Daphnia pulex: one gene and its partners. The main gene of each other region encodes a partner of the protein of the gene in region 2 in a complex. Links are inferred from orthologs where the notes say so. Each region holds a gene or a part of one and is shown on either strand. Other genes may lie near its edges.

Region 1 (5,451 bases), on a different chromosome or scaffold from region 2:
ACGTTTTCCCACGTCTGAGGGATCAGAATATTCACTGATTCAATGTAGGATCGATTCCGAGTTGCTTCATACAAATCAGCTGAAGCTTCAGTGATTAACAACTTTAAGAAGAAATAATAAAATTCTTTTGTAACAAGAACAAGGAATAGTAAAAGCTTTGAAAGAAACTCTAAAATGTTACCTTGATGTTATCCAATAAATCATCAGCTTGATCTGAGGGAACATCAGGTGAAATTGCTATGACAATATCCCGATAGCCGTTGTTGGTTATGTTGACTCGGCTGCCGATGGCGCGAAGAGACAGGCAGCTAAAGAGCAGCAACAAGAGAAGACGATGATGACAGACCGCCATGGTGTCGTCGCTTTTGGAACTATAAAGTGGAACTGAAAAGTGAAATTTTCGGACCAGTTTATATACACGCAACCTAAAGGTGAATCACAGAAAAAAGATTGCACAACCGTTTGCGATCAATTGAATAATACCGTTAGATAGCCTTATACGTGACAAATAAATTATCTGCAAGCCGTTCGGCCCCTTTTGCTCCTTTGTCATGGGCCATGGGTATTTTTTTTTTTTTTTTTTTTAGCGATATCTTTTTATTTTTTCCTTTATCCTGGTGAAGTTGAGAAATTTTGATAGCAAACCGGGGAAAAAACCAACTTTTTGTCAATTTTGATACTTCAAAGTACAAGTACATCTTGGCATTTTGCCCTGGAGACAGCGTTGTGACTGTTTTGTTTGCGTACTTTAGCTTGAGATATAGTAATGTTTTGCGAGTTATCCTTTACTCCCATCAATTGTTACTAGCCAATGCAGAGAGTAAATAACCCAAGATAATTACATTAAAGGCTTGACAAAGAGTTATTGTAGCCAGCAAATAAAAAACAAATCGACAAAGTTTTTGGCAATCATCCTTCTTCTATTCGTTCACAGGGACGATTTGAACAGAGAAAACAACTTCTTCTCATTAAAGGCTCTCAAAGCGATCGCCATCTACATGTTTAATTACAATAGAATAAGGCCTAAGGATTCGCGTTTCTTGCTTCAGCTTACGTGCCGCGTCATCTTTCGTTGATGACGTCCTGCAGTCCAAATGACACAGATAAATTGGTTTGAAATAAGTAAAATTTTATATCTTTTATCTGGTGTTTTATAATGCTACTAATAATTTCCTTTTAATTTATTCTTATTTGAGATGATCAAAGGCGAAATAGGATTTTAAAAAGTGCCACAAACGGCGGTTCCCTGCAGTAAAGAATCGATATCTCTAATCCTCTATGCCTTTTCCTGGTGCACTTCAGGAAGTAGACATAAAATCAGAGCTCGTAAGCAAACAGAGGTAGTTCAAATATAGAGACTAGAACAAGGTTATGAAATCTCGGTAGATAGTGCAGTCGATACTGTAGTTGTAATATGGCAGGCAATACCTGCCGATTTTCATAGGAAATCAAATGATAAAAGTAATACGAATGGAAGTTGAAAACATTCGAGTATTTGAATGCGCTTAAATATTGTTTAGTAGTGAAATGAGTAGCATTGGAATGCTATTGAAAATATTGAGTTCAAAAAGGCTACTTATTGTCGATTACATTAAACATGAGAAATGTCTTAAAATTAGGTAGTTTTTATATGGGAATTTTATCTTTATTAAACTCGGTGCAGTCCCGCGTTAGATGATTTTTCAAAAAAGGACTCTCTTTTGTAGAACACCATTTTTATTGATCCGTCGACTCGCCATCTAGGGGATGATAATCGAGTAACATTTTTGTATGAAAACGTCAAAACGGTAATCTCAGTCAAAACATATTCTTTGAACAGATAAATTATTTGATTATCACCGATTACTTATTAGTTAAACTTGAATGGTTTGACATTTACTTCTTTCCAGAATTTCCGCTTTCCGGGATTCGGAAAAAAAAATCAAGTTGATTTTAGAATGGCAACATTGCAATTTACAAACTTGGCAACGCAACCAAGTTTTGAAGCGTCGTCTGATCGTTTCGAAAACACGACTATTTTTATGTTTCTTACTTTGTAAAAAAACCACTGAAATGGAAATATTTGATTTTGAGAAAACTCGGTGTTCGTTTCTGGTACAGTAAAAAAATCTATCAATGAGCCATATTTGAAATAAATTGAAAAATCTTATGTCTTCTGTGTTTGGTTTCTGTAGGATTCCATTTCTGAAGCTCTTAAACTGGGTGGTCCACCCACTATCAGTGAATTACTTTCAGTTAACAATACAGCTCATCTTGGGTAAATTTAATCAAAGCAGAAAGTATTTACATATTATTGTAATTAAACATATTTATTGTAGGGAAGCTGATAAAAAAGCTGTATGGGATCAGGCGTTTAGAGACAGATTTTTGAGTGATTCCTCAAACTTTTCCATACCATTGTTTGAAAAGTTGTTGCAGTTGAGTCTGGATTGTGCAGTAGCTCTAGTATGTTCTCCAACACTGCCTGTGATTTTGCTCACAGATGCTTTTGACATCCTGTCTCTGGAAAAATGTGAGGAAATTTTCTACATGGTTGAAATGAAAGTAGCGATTTGGAAACAAGAGCTTTTCTTCAATCAGTGTAAAAATACCTTACTTCGCCTTTGCAATGGTATGTAAAGACATTTTTCCAAAATTCTAATAATGTATGACACAAATATTTATGTAACTGGATGCATCTAATTCTGTATTGATATGAATTCAATCCATTACTCTTATTTCAATGTATACCACTCTGCTAAATTCATTTACAGTGTTTCGCTTTATGTGAGTTGTGTTGCTGAAATGAATTTTATATGTATATTTTTTTTCAGATCTGCTGAGGCGCTTGTCCCGAAGCCAGAACACGGTTTTCTGTGGTCGAATTCTTCTATTTCTTGCAAAATTTTTCCCATTCTCTGAACGATCCGGACTTAACGTAGTAAGCGAATTTAATTTGGATAATTTGACGACATTTGGAGCTAAAGATGAAAGCTACGCTGCTGATATATCTGCTAATTCTGAAAAGCACAAGGATGCAATGGAAGTAGAAGAAAGGTATATATATTTGATTGACAAGTTATTGCAATATTTTTCTAAATTTTCTTGTTTTGTAGTTTGAGCTCCGACTACAATCTGTACAAAAAATTTTGGTCCCTACAAGATTTCTTTCGAAACCCTAATCAGTGCTATACGAAAATCCCGTGGAAAACGTTTTGTTTGGTAGCTAAAACATCAAGTATTTCAAGTTAAAATTTTCCATCTAACAGAAAAACAATTATTCTTTAGCATACTAGTGATGTTTTGTCTGCATTTTCTACTATCAAACTGGATGAGCGGAGAAACCGCTCTAAATGGGATGAGGCAGATGTGGCATTAAACATCGATATGAATGAAACCAGCATGAATGGTGGAAATGTCCAACAATATTTCGCCAAATATTTGACGAGTCAAAATCTTCTCGAACTTCAGCTCGGTGACTCCAACTTCAGACGTTACATTCTGCTGCAGTTTCTGATTATGTTCCAATATCTGGATTCACCTGTCAAGTTTAAACAGTTAGTTTCAATAAGTTTCATTAGTTAGACTATTTCAACCGCTTGAATTGCTTCTATTTATAGCGAAACTCACAAGCTCAACGAAGAACAAACTACGTGGGTTTCCGAGGCTATCGATCAAGTCTATCGGTTATTGAAAGATACACCTCCAGATGGCGCTTCTTTCGTCCAATCTATTCGACACATACTAAAGGTATACTGAGTTGTATAAAAGTAGTTTTAAAAAATATCATCCATCGGTGTTTGTTGGATGTAGCGGGAAGAATTATGGAGCAACTGGAAGAACGATGGCTGCCCGGAATTCCGGCCCAGCATAACCAGCTCAACCACTGATAATGATACTATAAAAGATGGTACCAATGGAGAAAAAAAGACGATCGTAGTTGGCCGACCAAGACGGCTCAAAAGAAGTCTTGGAGATCAGATTCGAGAAGCTTCAAAAAGAAATAAGTGCATTATTGGAAAGTAGGTAAATTATGAAATTATTTGAAAACATTGAATTACAGCTTTTTCTCTTTAGCGCTGAGATGAATCGTTTGTGGAATCTATGTCCTGATAACATGGCTGCCTGTCGATCTAAAGATCGAGATTTTCTACCTACATTAGAAAACTATTTTGAGGAAGCCATTGAGCAACTGGATCCTTCAGTGGAAAGCCAGTACAAGTAAAAATTTGCACTTTAAAGCTTACATTTTTCCGAAAATGTTTTAACTGAATGAGCGATTTTCGTGTTTCCAGGCGAGTTAGTGAGGCTAATTTTGGGTGGCGTGCTTTGCGGCTTTTGGCTAGACGAAGTTTACATTTCTTCACTCATGGTAATACTCCTATCACTCGGCTGCCAGATTACTTGGAAACGCACGTTCGCAAACTGGCCAAGGACATGCAGGTAGAGTAAAATCAGATGAATATCACGGTTCCCATTCTGCAATACAGGGAAAAGTCAGGGATTTAGGTTCTCATTTGGGAATATATATATATATTTTTTTTTAATATTTTGAGGTATTTTGAATTTTGTTATCGAGACTCATAACTTTTGCACGGGTTTTGCTGTTAAACAAAGATTTTGAAATAGTTGATCCAGAAGAAATACAGACGAGTTTGTTAGGTGTCAGGTAATTTTTCACATTCATTTGTCTGGAAATCCCTGGATAATCTTGATATATTACTGGTTTTGTAGTTGGCTTATTCAAATAATATGATAATAAAAATTATAGGCTAACATTTATAAGTATTGTGGGAGAATGATATTGTATGCTACGTTTACGAAAAGCATTTATCGAAAGGGTTTGAATAGGCAAGCTTAGCTTGCAACTAGCGATTTGATAAATATTGTCCTAATTTTCTAACCGTGCAAAATTTGAAAATTGATCAAACTTTAAAATAATGCGGTCAAAACATTGTTGCGTACATTAATAACAATCTTCTCATTTAGCAGTCAGCAAATGCATTGCCTAATGTAAAACCGGAGCCAGTGGACGACGCTGGTGAGGTAGAACAAATGGAACCGGAAGCAGACCCAGTGTCCAATAACTCGGAAATTGAAGGAGTCCCAGAAGAAACTAATGTAAAACCGGATGAGATGGAAGAAGAAGAAAGCACTGAAAAGAAACCTGTACTTTGCTGCACAATGGATCAACTCACTCGCTTAGCAAAACAAATCGGGACTAATTGGAAACTTCTCGCACCAAAACTTGGTTTTGGACCAGATGAGGTAACTACAAAATTTAAGACGTTCTGTTTTTTTCGAATTTTGAATTTAAGCCCTTTAGTTTAATAGTCTTAATGACGCTGCATTATTTTTTCAAACATAGAAAACGAGTAAATTCCGTCATATTATTAGTTTCCTAGTTTTCTTGGCTATGATAATAGTTTTATATACAGTGGATGCATGAGATAAAGTTAAAATTGCATCCAC
Region 2 (4,825 bases):
GCAGGAGCGAGTTTGCAAGCAGCTGTGTCATTATCTTCCGGCGGCCCGGGACATTCGACAATTATTTCTGCTCCAACTTTTACAATTCAATCCGGACATTCAGAGTCGGCGCTATCTTTGCGACGTCATCACAGCCAACCATCTGTTGTTGCTGATACTCGAGCGGGTCCCTCACCAGGAGCCAGGGGGAGCCAGGGATTTTAATCTGCATCAGCATTTGAATCAATTCTGCACAAAAACAATAATGGCCCGATACGGAACGGCTCTCGAAGGCTTCAGGACGAACGGGCCATTTTTGAACGATTGCATTTTCACCATGTTGCATCATGTGGGTTGCGATCTAAGTGAAATCGCTCTCGTTTGCCAGCCAAATATTATGCGTCATTTTGCCTCAATCTGGCAGGAGGCATTCCAAGTAGGTTCAGTCAACAATTCCGTGTTTCACTCATTTAATGGATAACGTTTGGTTGCTGCTGCTATTTAGATTTCTGACGATTGGCACGATCTAATTGCATATGCTGTACACATATTTAATCTGAGCCGTGGCAAAATTGGCAACACATCACCTGACCGAGAGACTAGTGAATTTTCCAATCAAGACGATTGGCGTTCGATGGAATTTGAAAGTCTCACTAGCCAAACTTTTAACAACGACGATGACGAGTTTGAAAATCTCCGAACCGATTTTGAGTCGCTACTTATTCTACTCAAAGGCGATGGTAAGTCTTATTATTTTTTTATAACACCCCATCTTGTTTAAGCTATATCTAATGTATCGATAAATATAGGATTTCAGAAACAACTCGATTGGATTCAGTCGTCTTTATTGACGGCCTGTGCAGCACGTTTGGGCATTTACTCCGACCACGAATTCCGTCATCCAATTACCTGTTTGAGCTTGAAATTGAATACGCCATGCCCGATAGTCCCTTGGACGGAAGCGGAAGCCTCCGCATTGAGTTCGAAACCCTTTCGCTTTTTTCTGCGTCAACTGGGTCTTTTCCCTTCGCTTCCTAACGCTGGCACCTATCCAAGGATCCCACTCGAATGGTCACCAGACACTCTGTACAATGTTGCTCTTTCGTTGGGTTCCGTTGCCCATCAGCAAGTTGATTTCGACTTGAGTTGTGTAGGAAAATTGTAGCTTATCCATTTAATTTAGCTTCGATCGGTCCCGCTTGATTACTGCTGGCCAATCATTAGAGTAATTTGTTGTAATTTTGTCTATGATCAGCGACGATTAAATGAAGGAACAAAAATCAAATTAGTGTTGAGGTTAATCATTTGTATTTTTTGGGATGAGTTTCTCTTTCTCGTTTCACAGGCACACCTTTTCACACTCAAGTCCTCGGATGAAATATGAATGAATTATAAAAAGATACATGTGCTAAGTGCGCCGTAACAGGAGGGAAAAGCAAGAAACACACGGCAAAAAGGGACTCCAAAAACTGGGGGAAAGTACAAGAACCATTTAATCAAGTGCTAGAATGAAATCAAGACAAGGTTGTCCAAAATCTCTTTTTTCTGTCTAGACTCTTCACAACAGTCCAACCATTTTCTCAAAGACAAATTCTGAATTGGATTCACTTTTAACTTTAAGGACTAAAACATTGTTAATAGTCAATCAAGACTTGGCGAAGGGGAGTTATTAGTAAGAAGGTTCTTTCGTTTGAAGTTGGGGAGCAGCACAGGTGAGGTAACGACTGGAGAAAGATTATTGCATATTTAATTCATTTCAACGTCCCCAATTTTAGACATGTAGGATTCAATATCATTGTCTAGAGCGCTACGAGTCTTTTGCATGTACTGATCCAATTGCTTGTCCAAATCTTCTTTGCTGACCTTGGTAGAGCCACCTCGACCACGCCCTCGACCACGTCCGGATGTCTGACCGCGCGGAGATGTCGGCAAGCTGCTTCCTCCACGACTGGGTCCCTTACCACCACGTTGGCCTCGTCCTCTTCCTCTTCCACGCTGGATACGACTTTCAGCTTGCCCGGTAATCAATGAAGATGTCATCTGCCCTCGACCACCTCGTCTTCCTCTCACGCTGCCTCTAGCACGCGAAGGTTTGGTCGGCGAACGATTGGTTGTGGCAGCAACGGGGGCTGGCTTTTTCGATGGAGAAATGATTCTTCCGCGAGTGCTTCTCTTGTTTCCTTGTCCACCGCCACGAACGATTGTTTGGCTGACAATGGGCTTCAGTCCGCCCCGGCCTCGAATTATCTTTGTTGGGGTGACCGTTTGCCCTTGCGTTCGACTTCCTCGCAGAGATCCTCGCGACTGACTCCCGCGACCAGCTCCACGATTGGTTGTGAGTCTCCTTTGAGTTTGGGTGGCCGTTCCGCGAAATCGAGTACTGGTGTTTACTGTGGCTCCAAGGCGTTGTTTGATGCTTTTCTGAATAACAGTATAAATGATGTAAGTATATCTGGTTATGAATTAAAAACGAGGAATTGCACCTTTTTCAGTTTCAAAGCAGCACTGACTGATGCATTTCGTCTTTCCATCTGTTGAGCTAGTCTGCTATTCTTGCTTGATGCCTTTTGAAGATTAGCTGCATTATTTCTAGCCCCTTGCAGTTTTCCAGCCAATTTCTGACCCCCTGCTGAGCTTCGTAATTTGGAGAATCTGTAACGAAAAATTTTCATGCGTTAAAAATCAGCAAATGAGAAGAAAATCAACACATACTTTATAAAAGCAAGGAAATTCAATGTTTAACAGGGGGAAAATTGCGGCAAACAACTATTTCAATCGCATATACGACATAACAAACCCAAATTGCCTAATGATTTATACCTTTCATGTAAGGATAAGGAAGTTGAATTATTTGGTACTCTGCCTCCTGAAGCCATTTTGTGCTAGAATACTGCTGAACCAAAGTTCAATTACGGTCAAGAAAATGCCGAAAACAGATAATTTCGAGCTATCTAGAAATGTTTCTCGTGAAGTCAATGAAAACAATTGCTGATGTTTGCCCGGCTGTGAACTAATGACGCTCAACTTTTTTCGACTGCTATTGGGTAGTAAAGTGACACCTAGCGGAAAAAAGAAAGTATGTCGTGATTTACGATTGAGTAAGAGTGCATGTTTTAAAAAATGTGGGTGGAGGAAATGTTTTATGGGTGTAGAATCATGTCAATAATTAAATATACTAGATAATACAGAAAGTGAAAGAATTGGAAATCTGTATTTATTTGAAATCAATGTATTCATTCTGTAAAACAAAATCAGATGACAAGCAGAAATGAATCTTTGTTTTTTTATCGTATGAGATGGTCAATAGTGTTTTATAAAAAGAAATTAGGCGGCCACTACTGTAGGAGTACTGCTTCCGTTTTCCTCAGCTTTAACTGCCGGAACGGCTTTCTCTGGATTGAATGTTGTCCAGCGAGCTTCATCTAGTGCATCCCACAAATCCTGATTGCGCTCAAAAAGTTCTCTGTTCAGTTTCTCAATATCGACGGGTGTATTGTGTTCTATGAGCTCAAACTCATCTTCTTCAGGTTGAGCAGGCATTTGCCCAGCAACGCCATATCCGGCATAAGCTTGTTGACCATCATAGCCGTATCCGCCTTGGTAACCATATCCTTGCCAGCCACCGTACTGTTGCCAATAGGCTGGATCGACGTACTGTCCGTAGCCAGCTGCTGCAGCAGCAGCTTGAGGTTGAACTGGCTGGCCGCTGGCTGCGGCCTGGACAATTGACGAAGCAATCGATGCAGTTAACGTAGAAGTAGAAGATGTACTGGATGAGGATCCTAAAAGTTAAAAGAGTATGAAATGAAATGTACTCCAAAGAAAAGTTTAAGCGTGCATTTACCAGGTATCATGTTGTAATTACGAGGAATAGCCAATGAAACTCTAAGTGGGTTGCTGCCGAGTCCTCTGTGACCTTGCATATGTGTCAGCGCATCTTTGTAATCACTTTCATTAGAAAAATTAACAAACGCATAGCCGCGACTTTCTCCATTGCTGCCTCTGACCACTAAACATAAAATACGAGAAGTTCAGATAATTGCCAATAAAATCATTACAGAAATTTTACAAATTACCCTTTGCCAATTGAACTGAGTTATATTTTGCAGAAAAACATTTGTAAAGGCCATAGTCATCTACATCAGCACTCAAATCTCCCACCCACAGTGCATGATCGGCTGTAGAACCTTTAGTGTTTGTGCTGTGATTTAACTTGAAACGGCTTGGCTAAAAGTGGGAAAACAGATAATATAACTAATATAAATTATGGTAAATTAAAAGTTAATACACTACCGGCTGACTGTATGGAATGATTTTGCCATTCAATTTGTGTAGAACTTCCATTGCTTGCTTTTCATCTCGAAACTGACAAAATCCAAAACCAGCAGGTAATCCAGTGTGCTTATTTCTCATGACTTTGATGGCTTCAGGTTTTTCTCCCATTAATTCAAAAGATCGCATAAGAAATTCCTCTGTCATGTAAGGTTCTAACTAAAATATAAACAGTAAACACATTAGAGGATTCCATTCGACACGAGACTTGCATTGAGCCGGCAAAAAAGTGAATACAGATCACCGAACACGTTTACATTTGATACACATTTTGGCCAAAAAGGACCAGAAAAACTTACCCCACCAATCCATAAACTGCTTGCCCTTTCTAAAGCCATTTTCAGTTGTTAATTGTAAAAAAAAAAGCAAATATTGAAAATTCACTGAAAAAATCGCACGCAGAACGACGAATGACAGTTGTGATGCGTGATGCCAGATTTAAAAAATTATTATGTTTCCAACTGCCGCAAAAATGCCCAAGGCCAAGTTATAATTATTTCATGAACTTTGTTCA
Region 3 (4,820 bases), on a different chromosome or scaffold from region 2:
TTGGAAAATATCAGTAATTTTGAGCTTAATAAAGCTTGAAAAAAAACATCATCGACGGAATAAAAAAAATCTAGCTACGTTAAGCAAAACAAACCTAACTCTTGGGCTACTATATGAAATATAAGCTAATGTAAGCTAACGTAAGCTTGGGAAACGGGGAAAAAAATAAAAAAGCACTTTTAAGCTATCTGTCGCGTACGGGTAGACCCGTGAAAAAATCAACTGGGGGGGGGGGGAAATTGTATATATCGACTGGAATGGAATCCAATCAAAAAAAAGGAAGAAGAAAAAATAAAGGGACCAATTGGCCAATACAAACGGAACGAAACGACGGCGATGATATTATATAGCTACACGGAATAGGAGAGACTCTTATTCATCTAATAATATCCAGCGAATCTCGAAAAAAAAGGTCTAAAAAAGAAGAAGAATGGAATGCAATTAGCATAGTTCATCAATATGGAACAGGCAACAATAACGCAATCATCGTCGGGCGGAATGCCTATTGTAATAGAAACTCTCCTATATATATTATATACTTAATGTTACAACACACACAGCAGAGCTGCCCTGCTGTATTTATATATATATATATCCGCGTTGTAAATCACCGGGATATATATAACGGGCCAGCGGGTCCAATCTCCATAAAGTGTCGAGGCACACCAGCAACAAAAAAGCGTATCATCGGAATCGTATTACCCTATAGACGTTTTCATTTGAAGGGGAGAAGGAAGAGTTTTAAATAAAATAGAAGGAAAAAAAACCCTTTTTTTTCCTTTATTTCTTATATATTTTTATTTTACTACTCTTTGGGTATAGGCCAACGAGACGAGTCCAGTGACCAGCCAAAAGGTCCAGGGAAAGAGAGAGAAAAAGAATCTTTTTGGGCAAAACGAAACGAGACGTTCGCAGATTTACGACTGCGATATGTTATTACGCACACACGGGACCGATTGGCTATCAAAATAGAAGAAGAAGAAGAAGAAGTTCTTTTGGTGTGTGTAATGATGGAGAGAGCAGCCAAAGAAAAAGGAGGTCCAGTAGGAGCATCAGCAGCAGCCCAGGCCAGGCCAGGCCACAAGGCGCGCTTGGACGCCCAGTCGCTTTTATCGTCAGTTAACGGGCAAGAAATTTGCTTATTTTATGGCCGTCTTCTTTTTCTTTTCTCTCCTAGAAGAAGAAGAAGAGGGGGACTCGTAAATTTCCCTTTTTTTTCTCCTTACTACCCCCGCTCTCTTCTTCCATCGACTATACAGCTGTAAATTCTTGTAAAGTCGATGCTAACTCGTTAGTCGTTAGCGTTATATAGAAGCCGTTCTGGTTGTAGTTGTTGTAGATGTCTTATGTGCTGTGTGCCGGCGCTGTGGGTCCAGCATGCACTGGCAGAGAGAGACTACGACTTTTTGTTGCTTTATATTACCCCGATGCCCAAACACGGATCATTTGATGATTGCGCGCTGTGAAAGAAAGAAAAAAAGAACAAAATATAAGAAAACTGAAATCTATATAGTCGTAGTTTTTGAAGAAACGGGCATAGCTGCTGCTGCTGCTGCCCATCCCAGTTGATTTGGACTCGGTTCTTTTGGCTTTGGCGCATATTATTGCCGTGTAGATATATATATATTTATCGGACGTGTAATAACATTCAAAATGGCGCAAGCTCCACAGCTATAGTTTATATGTGTAGCTGGGACTTGGGAGAGAGAGTATAATATTCATGCAGCTAGATCTCGTCTGATAGAGGCTGGACGCCCTTCGCTTGTTGAGTTCATTGTGTGTGTGTGTGTGTGTACTAGTCACGCTTGATTACGGTGTGTGTCCCGTGTTTGGTAACAAAAGCATTTCCACCTATCCGCCCACCCTACGCCTTTTTTATTTTATTTTTGTTATTTTGGGCCAGCCAGTCGATAAACGTATCGTTTAACGTCCGACTAATCAGAGCCAATTGAGGAGACGACATTACCACCACGCATTCCTTGCCCGACCCCTTTTTTCTTTTATTAGTGAGTTAGGAATTTCAAATTTCGCGCTCCAACTGCCATCTGGCGGATGAAGAAGAGACTTGGCATTGGAAATGGCGGGACGACCGGCTTCGCGTTAGTTCGTCTGCACACACTGTGTTTTGTTGACACGCGAGTAAAGGTATATAAACCGCTTTTTTTTCCCGAAATTATAAGAAGATGGCAGTCGCCGAATTGGAAGAGCTGAAAAATCATTTTAAAACGCACACTCGAACGAGGGAAGTCTCTGCACATTCGGCCAAGGTTCACACGGTTGATTGGAATTGCGATGGAAGACGGTTAGCGTCGGGTTCCTTTGACAAGACGGTGTGCATTTTTACTATGGAAAGCGACAGACTGGTTAGTATTAGTCCCGGCTTATCAATCATGCAGCAATTATAATGGAGCTTGAGGCATTCTGTTTCAGGTTAAGGAGCAAACGTTTGTGGGACACAATGACAGTGTCGATCAGCTATGTTGGCACGAAACCAATCCTGATTTGCTCAGCACCGCCAGTGGAGACAAAACCATGAGAGTTTGGGATGCAAGAGTTAAAAAGAGTGTCGCCACAGTAAACACCAAGGGTACAATTAATTACGAAATTATGCTTAAACATTCAATCCTTCATTAATGTGATTTGACAGGAGAAAATATCAACATCACGTGGTCACCTGATGGAAATTCCATTGCAGTGGGAAATAAGGAAGACCTTGTTACTTTTATTGATGCCAGGAATTTTAAGATTAAAATAGAACATCCGTTCAAGTTTGAAGTCAACGAAATAGAATGGAACAAGGCTAGCAATCTTTTCTTTTTGACTAGTGGGCAAGGCTGCATCCACATATTAGAGTAATGATGAATTTTCTTCCCCCTGCTTTCAATCTAGCATGACGCTATCAATTCTCTTGTATCTAGTTACCCAGAGCTTACGACCGTTCACGTCACACAGGCTCACCCCGCCAACTGCATTTGCATCGAATTCGACCCCACTGGACGGTACTTTGCCACTGGGTCGGCCGACGCCCTAGTCTCTCTGTGGGATGCCGATGAAATTGCTTGTTTGCGCACTTTCTCCAAGTAACATTAATGCCAATAATAACGTGCCGTTTTCTATTGAGGTTATTCAATTACTGACTGGGTGTTTCCCCTTTAGGTTGGATTGGCCAGTTCGGACATTGAGTTTCAGTCACGATGGGTCCATGTTGGCGTCCGGGTCAGAGGACTTGCTGATCGACGTCAGCCACGTAGGTACAGGCGAGCGCGTTATCAGCATTCCAGTTGACACGCCAACCTTCACAGTCGCCTGGCATCCACGCTCTCACCTGCTGGCCTACGCCTGTGACGATAAAGACGACGGAAACAGAGACGCCGGAACTGTGAAGCTCTTTGGTCTCTCTAACGAGTGATGGGCCCATACGAATCAAAACTAGGAGGTCTCGTGTTTTATACAGAATCCAGCTTTTTTTTTTTTATTTTTTCACTTGCAGATTTTCTTGTTTACTCTTGTCAAGAACTATTTGCCAAGCTTACAAACTTCAACTGTGTTGAGAGAGATACAAGTAAAATGGATCTCAGATCAGAGATCTTTTCCAGAAAACTGAATTGTTCCAGGACACATTTTCCCTTTTTTTTAACGTTCAAACATAATTAATTACTCAATAATAATTTTCGTTATTACTAGATCCCATATTTGTTAAAAGGTGATGACCGTTCGGCACAAATTTTTAGTCAATAATGAAAAAAACAGGGCGTTAACGTTTAAAGAAATACGACGCTTTTATGCAAGCAGTCCATCTAGGTAAGACTTATTCCTATCCTTATTCTATTACTAAAGGCAAATTAATTTAAGTTGTCGTGATAATAAGCATATTTCGTAGAAACAGATAGATTGATAGTTTGTGTTACATCATACGTGCCGTTGATTATGTACAAGGCTAAAATGTCGTTTGATATTTCGTAACGGTAGTTGGTAAACACTAAACACACACACCCATATATAGGCAGCAAAGCGGCACATAGACGAATGTATCGTTTTGCTCGAGTAGATTCATGTTCATTGTTCTCCGCAGCTAGAACGTGAAATACTCGGAATGCTTCTCGTGTCATTCCAACATGGAAAGCTGTTATTTATCTGCTTTGCGATTGGTGTAAAACGGATGCGAGAAGTTGAAATTATTCGCATTCTTTAATTTTTTATTTCTTTTTTGAATTTGTGCGTTGCGCAGTTAAAGTTTACTTTTGAAAATTCTGCCACTGTGTAAATTATGGTCTTATCTCGTAATTAGACTCATCAAATTATTCTTAAATTTTCTCGTAATAAGATTCGAAAATCAATTGAACGTTTTAATAGTTTATTCGGTCTTGAACCTCGTATATGTAGACCAAGTTGCTATCTATAACTTTCATTATAAATACCTAGCGATGTTTCATTTCTTGTCCCCTTTCTAGCCCGATAAGAAAACAGAAAACATACGAGGCATTTCTTTAAAAAAATAAATAATAAAATGAAATGTGAACCTATTCCAGAGCTGCCAAGTTAGCCTCTTTGTCGTTTTCCGAGTTGAGAGACCTTTTGAAAGCAAAGCTTTAGGGTCGTCGTCGTAAGAAGAGTCTACATCCGATTTCCGAAGGTATTCAGACGCCGACAAAGGAAGCTCACAACAAGTCAACCTAAAACGAGAGGAGCGTAATCGTGTGGCTCACAACGCAAGTGTCGCTCGGCAGACATCGGCCGCTCTACGGCCAAGTTCCGTCTCTTCATTCGGCTTCGGTGCCCAGCAGGTACCTTTTTTTTTTATTATAAACGCCAAAAATTAT
Region 4 (3,908 bases), on a different chromosome or scaffold from region 2:
GTTATCCGAGCCATCGAACAACAGATGCAACCCGGAACTGCCACTGGTGCCCCGAAAATTCTCGAGCCCCTCAATGACGCACCAGTGGTCGACATTGATGATCTCCGTCTTTCCACACCTCCTGCCTACAAAATGGGTGAAATGGTCGCGACTCGCTTCGCCTACGGAACTGCTTTGGCCAAGTTGGCAGAGCACAACTCCCGAGTCATTGCTTTGGATGGTGACACCAAGAATTCCACCTACTCTGACAGAATCAAGAAGGTAATTGATTTTATTGGTCATTGTATTCTAACGTTTTGTTAATTCTCAACTAACGCTATTATCAGGTGTCAGCCGAGCGTTACATCGAGTGTTTCATCGCCGAGCAGAACTTGGTGGGAGTAGCCATCGGAGCCGGATGCCGTAATCGCACCATCCCTTATGTCTCTACTTTCGCCGCTTTCTTCACCCGAGCTTTCGACCAGCTCCGCATGGGTGCCATCTCGCAGACCAACATTACCTGCGTCGGATCACACGCTGGAGTCTCCATCGGAGAAGATGGCCCATCTCAGATGGCACTTGAGGATTTGGCCATGTTCAGATCCATTCCAGGTGAGTTTAAAGTGACATCTTTTAGGGAAATGTTTGACTAAACGAATTATTATTTGTAGGCTCCACCGTGTTTTATCCCAGCGACGCCGTCAGCTGCGAGAGAGCCGCCGAACTTGCCGGAAAAACCAAAGGAATTTGCTTCATTCGTACATCTCGCCCCAACACAGCCGTCATCTACGAGAACGAACAAGTTTTCTCTGCTGGAAAGGGTCACGTTGTTCGTAGTCACGATCAAGACGATTTGGTTATCGTTGGCGCCGGCGTTACACTCCACGAAGCGCTGAAGGCGTCCGACATGCTGATGGAAGCCGGCATCAAGGCTGCTGTCATCGATCCATTTACCATCAAACCCATTGATCACGATTTGCTGTTGAAGGAAGCCACTCGTTGCAACGGCCGGGTTTTGACCGTTGAAGACCATTACCCAGAAGGTGGATTGGGTGAGGCTGTTGCTTCAACTCTAGCCGAACAACGAAATATTATCGTCAAGATTTTGGCAGTTCGCGAAGTTCCCCGCTCCGGTCCTCCAGAGGTTCTCCTAGAACATTTTGGAATCGGCGCCAAGGCTATTGCCGAAGCCGCGAAAAAACTTGTTGCGTTGTAAACGCCCTTTTTTTAAGTCACTCATTCCTATACCCATTCCTTACCAGAGGTCTATGGATAGTTGAGAAGAATTGGTGGTGTTTTTTGAAACATTCTTCTATGGCATTCCAAGTCGTATATGTACCGTTTGGATAGTTTATTCATACATAGCTTTTTTGGTGTTTCAAATGATTTTTATTTGTTAGCATTATTATTCAAAAATAGAAAAAAGGGATGCATACAAAATGAACAATTATTAGGATGCTTCATCATCGTTAAGAAGTTGCTGTAATCCTTGGATAGTTGAAATGAGTAAGTGAAATTGTTTGCGTCTTTGTTCTAATTTGGCCTCCAGTTTTTGACATTCACATTCTGAAGCTTCCAGTTCCTGTCGCAATAGGGATAATTTCTCTTGGTTGCTCTTTCGATCAGGCTGTGTTTGAATAATGGCAGCCAAAGCATCATATTCCATTTTATTCCTGCGAATCTGTCTTGCTTCTTGCAACTCCTTCTTGGTTGCTTCAATGTCTTTTTTAGCTGACACAATTCCTTCTTCAATCTGGTTGTAGAGGTCGTCATAGTGCTGCTGTTCTGCAGTGTTCATTTCACAGCACCTCAAGGATTTTGTGGCAGCAAATTCACATTGGGCAATCTGACCAATCATTCTAGCGTAGGATGCTTGTCTGTAAAACAAATAAAAATACATCACATATAGAGTATAGAAGAATTTTATACAAAGATTAATTTACGTTTCTTCAACACTATCTGTAGAGTTGCACCAAGCTAGGAAACCTTTAAGCAATACATTAAGTCTTCTTTCATCACCAGTTCCTTCGCCATCAAACAACAGCCTCCTTCGGATGATCTCTTCTACATAACGAAGTACAAGATGAAAATTAACCGAAATAATATTACTAACAAGTCAAATTACCATCTCCCATTTGTGAATAATGATTGGGATCAAAATAAGACCAATAATAATACAATTTAACTGGTAAAGCTTTGAGAATATTGAGATGTCAAACCGGGCGAAAGAATGAGATGACAAACCTAGGAGAAATGTCGCTGCGGAAACGCCGGAAAGTACTGAAAAATGAAAAAATATTTTCGTCTGCCGTAAGCGTAGTTCGCTCGTCTTTTGTTTTGTTTTTTAAATCCGCCAGCAGACGACACGCCCCTCAAATGAAAGGAAGGAGACATGGCTTTTTAAAAAATCATCCGATTGATTAGGTATCTATTTTGTTTAGGGTTAAACTTGCATGCCTGTATAAACATTAGCAAAACCGAAAGAGAGCTAGTCCAGCAGATCAGCAATATACTTGGGAAACCATTGAACGGTTTAGAATCAATCAGGTGATGTCAAGGAAAGAATCCAATGAAATGCTGGATCTGGAGTGTTGTTTTTCTCGTTTCCAGATTAACGTCAATCTCTTCTTTTTAATTAAACTGTTGCCTTACATTCTAGGAAAACCTGTTTTTATTGTCCTGAAAATTGAGATTGGTGATCAAGATTGACAGATTCATTTTAAACAGGTGTGTAACTGACAGTGAAAAAATAATTTTGGGTGCAAGATACTTACAAACAACATTTATTTGTAAGTATAAAAGGTGCATGTCAATTAATGGTTGTATTTGTCAAGATGTCAGATGGTTGATTGGTTGGTAATATAAAATAACTGAGTTGAGAGAGATTTGGTACCTCAATGGGGAATTTTCACATATGTGTTTATCAGTTGATGTCATTATGATTATGTGCAGCTTGTTCTCATAGTCATACTTGTTGCAGTCCATGTGTGAAAATTGTAAAAAGATACTTAGCGCAAAGAAAAATGTACTTTTTGAGTTCCGCAATGCATAAAATCTTTTGCCAAAATTAAAAAAAAAATAGACGGACGATTGAGGATTTAAATTATTGCTAGAACGTTTCGCTAGAAGATAATTTCATCATTAAATCATCATAAAATTTCATAAATTGCCAACGAATAGAATCAACAACTTTAGTACGCTTACACATTAAGGTCTTCAAGTGGCAAAGAAACGCAACGCATTTTTTAATTCTAGGAAAAATATACAAGTACTATATTAAAGGTAATTTTGAAATAGTCCAATGGGTGTTAATGCCATAGAGTAATTAGAGGAGGCAAGGCATCAAGGGCAGTGGTAGCTGCCGAGCTGCTTTCACTATAGTTGCAACGCTGTTGCAGGTGAGGAAAGAAGACGGAGTCTCGGAGAGGAGAAATTAAGAAAAAATTTTCTGTTAACAAAGATGGCGTCCAACGATGACAGTCCAACAAGTCTTCATGGCCAGCCTTGGTCTGTTTGGGCTGATAGATTAGGCAGAGATAGTCCATTAAGTGAGTAAATTGCCTTATAAGTTGTCTTTTCTTGATAGCTAACGGATATTTTGTGAAAATTGTTTTGATGGTGTTATCGAATCGGTACGGCTTCGGCCTATCTCGATGGACGGCTGTTTAAATTGTCAAAATAAAATGTTATTCTCGATATTACCTTTGTCGCCTTATCATTACGCAGGTGACACAGATGAACAATCCAAAGTCAATCAGAAAAAAGAAGGCGACGCCATGAAATTGCCGAAGCAAGGTGATTGGTTTCATGAGCTTGATGTATATGTTAAGTCAGTCTCTAATATTCCCACTGTGTTACACTCCTGGTGCCTCATCATTGCAGATATGTTATTCTTTGGGCTCTGTCCCGTCAGAGATGAATTCTACCTC

The links. The genes of interacting proteins can lie anywhere in the genome.
Region 1: chromatin target of PRMT1 protein-like (region 2) and THO complex subunit 1-like share a complex: the UniProt entries of both Homo sapiens proteins name them as parts of the transcription/export (TREX) complex. The link is inferred for Daphnia pulex from reciprocal best matches to the Homo sapiens genes CHTOP and THOC1.
Region 3: chromatin target of PRMT1 protein-like (region 2) and THO complex subunit 3-like share a complex: the UniProt entries of both Homo sapiens proteins name them as parts of the transcription/export (TREX) complex. The link is inferred for Daphnia pulex from reciprocal best matches to the Homo sapiens genes CHTOP and THOC3.
Region 4: chromatin target of PRMT1 protein-like (region 2) and THO complex subunit 7 homolog share a complex: the UniProt entries of both Homo sapiens proteins name them as parts of the transcription/export (TREX) complex. The link is inferred for Daphnia pulex from reciprocal best matches to the Homo sapiens genes CHTOP and THOC7.

Annotation. Positions count from the first base shown.
Region 1 is NC_060026.1:6,262,252-6,267,702, reverse strand, and holds the start of THO complex subunit 1-like, read left to right. Parts: upstream 1-1,936; 5' UTR 1,937-2,052; coding exon 2,053-2,094; intron 2,095-2,174; coding exon 2,175-2,257; intron 2,258-2,318; coding exon 2,319-2,611; intron 2,612-2,813; coding exon 2,814-3,036; intron 3,037-3,095; coding exon 3,096-3,201; intron 3,202-3,267; coding exon 3,268-3,536; intron 3,537-3,599; coding exon 3,600-3,729; intron 3,730-3,792; coding exon 3,793-4,001; intron 4,002-4,056; coding exon 4,057-4,200; intron 4,201-4,274; coding exon 4,275-4,422; intron 4,423-4,968; coding exon 4,969-5,247; intron 5,248-5,451. Other genes in the region: calcium-activated chloride channel regulator 1-like, read right to left, coding at 1-101, 182-352. UniProt on the Homo sapiens protein: Component of the THO subcomplex of the TREX complex which is thought to couple mRNA transcription, processing and nuclear export, and which specifically associates with spliced mRNA and not with unspliced pre-mRNA.
Region 2 is NC_060027.1:3,846,753-3,851,577, forward strand, and holds chromatin target of PRMT1 protein-like, read right to left. Parts: upstream 3,012-4,825; 5' UTR 2,856-3,011; coding exon 2,800-2,855; intron 2,632-2,799; coding exon 2,463-2,631; intron 2,401-2,462; coding exon 1,726-2,400; 3' UTR 1,271-1,725; downstream 1-1,270. Other genes in the region: protein timeless-like, read left to right, coding at 1-415, 485-719, 789-1,144; tRNA selenocysteine 1-associated protein 1-like, read right to left, coding at 3,304-3,761, 3,824-3,988, 4,056-4,206, 4,273-4,470, 4,611-4,649. UniProt on the Homo sapiens protein: Plays an important role in the ligand-dependent activation of estrogen receptor target genes. May play a role in the silencing of fetal globin genes.
Region 3 is NC_060028.1:7,656,725-7,661,544, reverse strand, and holds THO complex subunit 3-like, read left to right. Parts: upstream 1-1,729; 5' UTR 1,730-2,183; coding exon 2,184-2,363; intron 2,364-2,430; coding exon 2,431-2,587; intron 2,588-2,647; coding exon 2,648-2,852; intron 2,853-2,918; coding exon 2,919-3,080; intron 3,081-3,156; coding exon 3,157-3,409; 3' UTR 3,410-3,605; downstream 3,606-4,820. UniProt on the Homo sapiens protein: Component of the THO subcomplex of the TREX complex which is thought to couple mRNA transcription, processing and nuclear export, and which specifically associates with spliced mRNA and not with unspliced pre-mRNA.
Region 4 is NC_060023.1:12,053,072-12,056,979, forward strand, and holds THO complex subunit 7 homolog, read right to left. Parts: upstream 2,262-3,908; 5' UTR 2,115-2,261; coding exon 2,105-2,114; intron 2,044-2,104; coding exon 1,923-2,043; intron 1,857-1,922; coding exon 1,430-1,856; 3' UTR 1,216-1,429; downstream 1-1,215. Other genes in the region: transketolase-like, read left to right, coding at 1-261, 327-591, 651-1,195; ataxin-7-like protein 1, read left to right, coding at 3,440-3,527, 3,706-3,774, 3,862-3,908. UniProt on the Homo sapiens protein: Component of the THO subcomplex of the TREX complex which is thought to couple mRNA transcription, processing and nuclear export, and which specifically associates with spliced mRNA and not with unspliced pre-mRNA.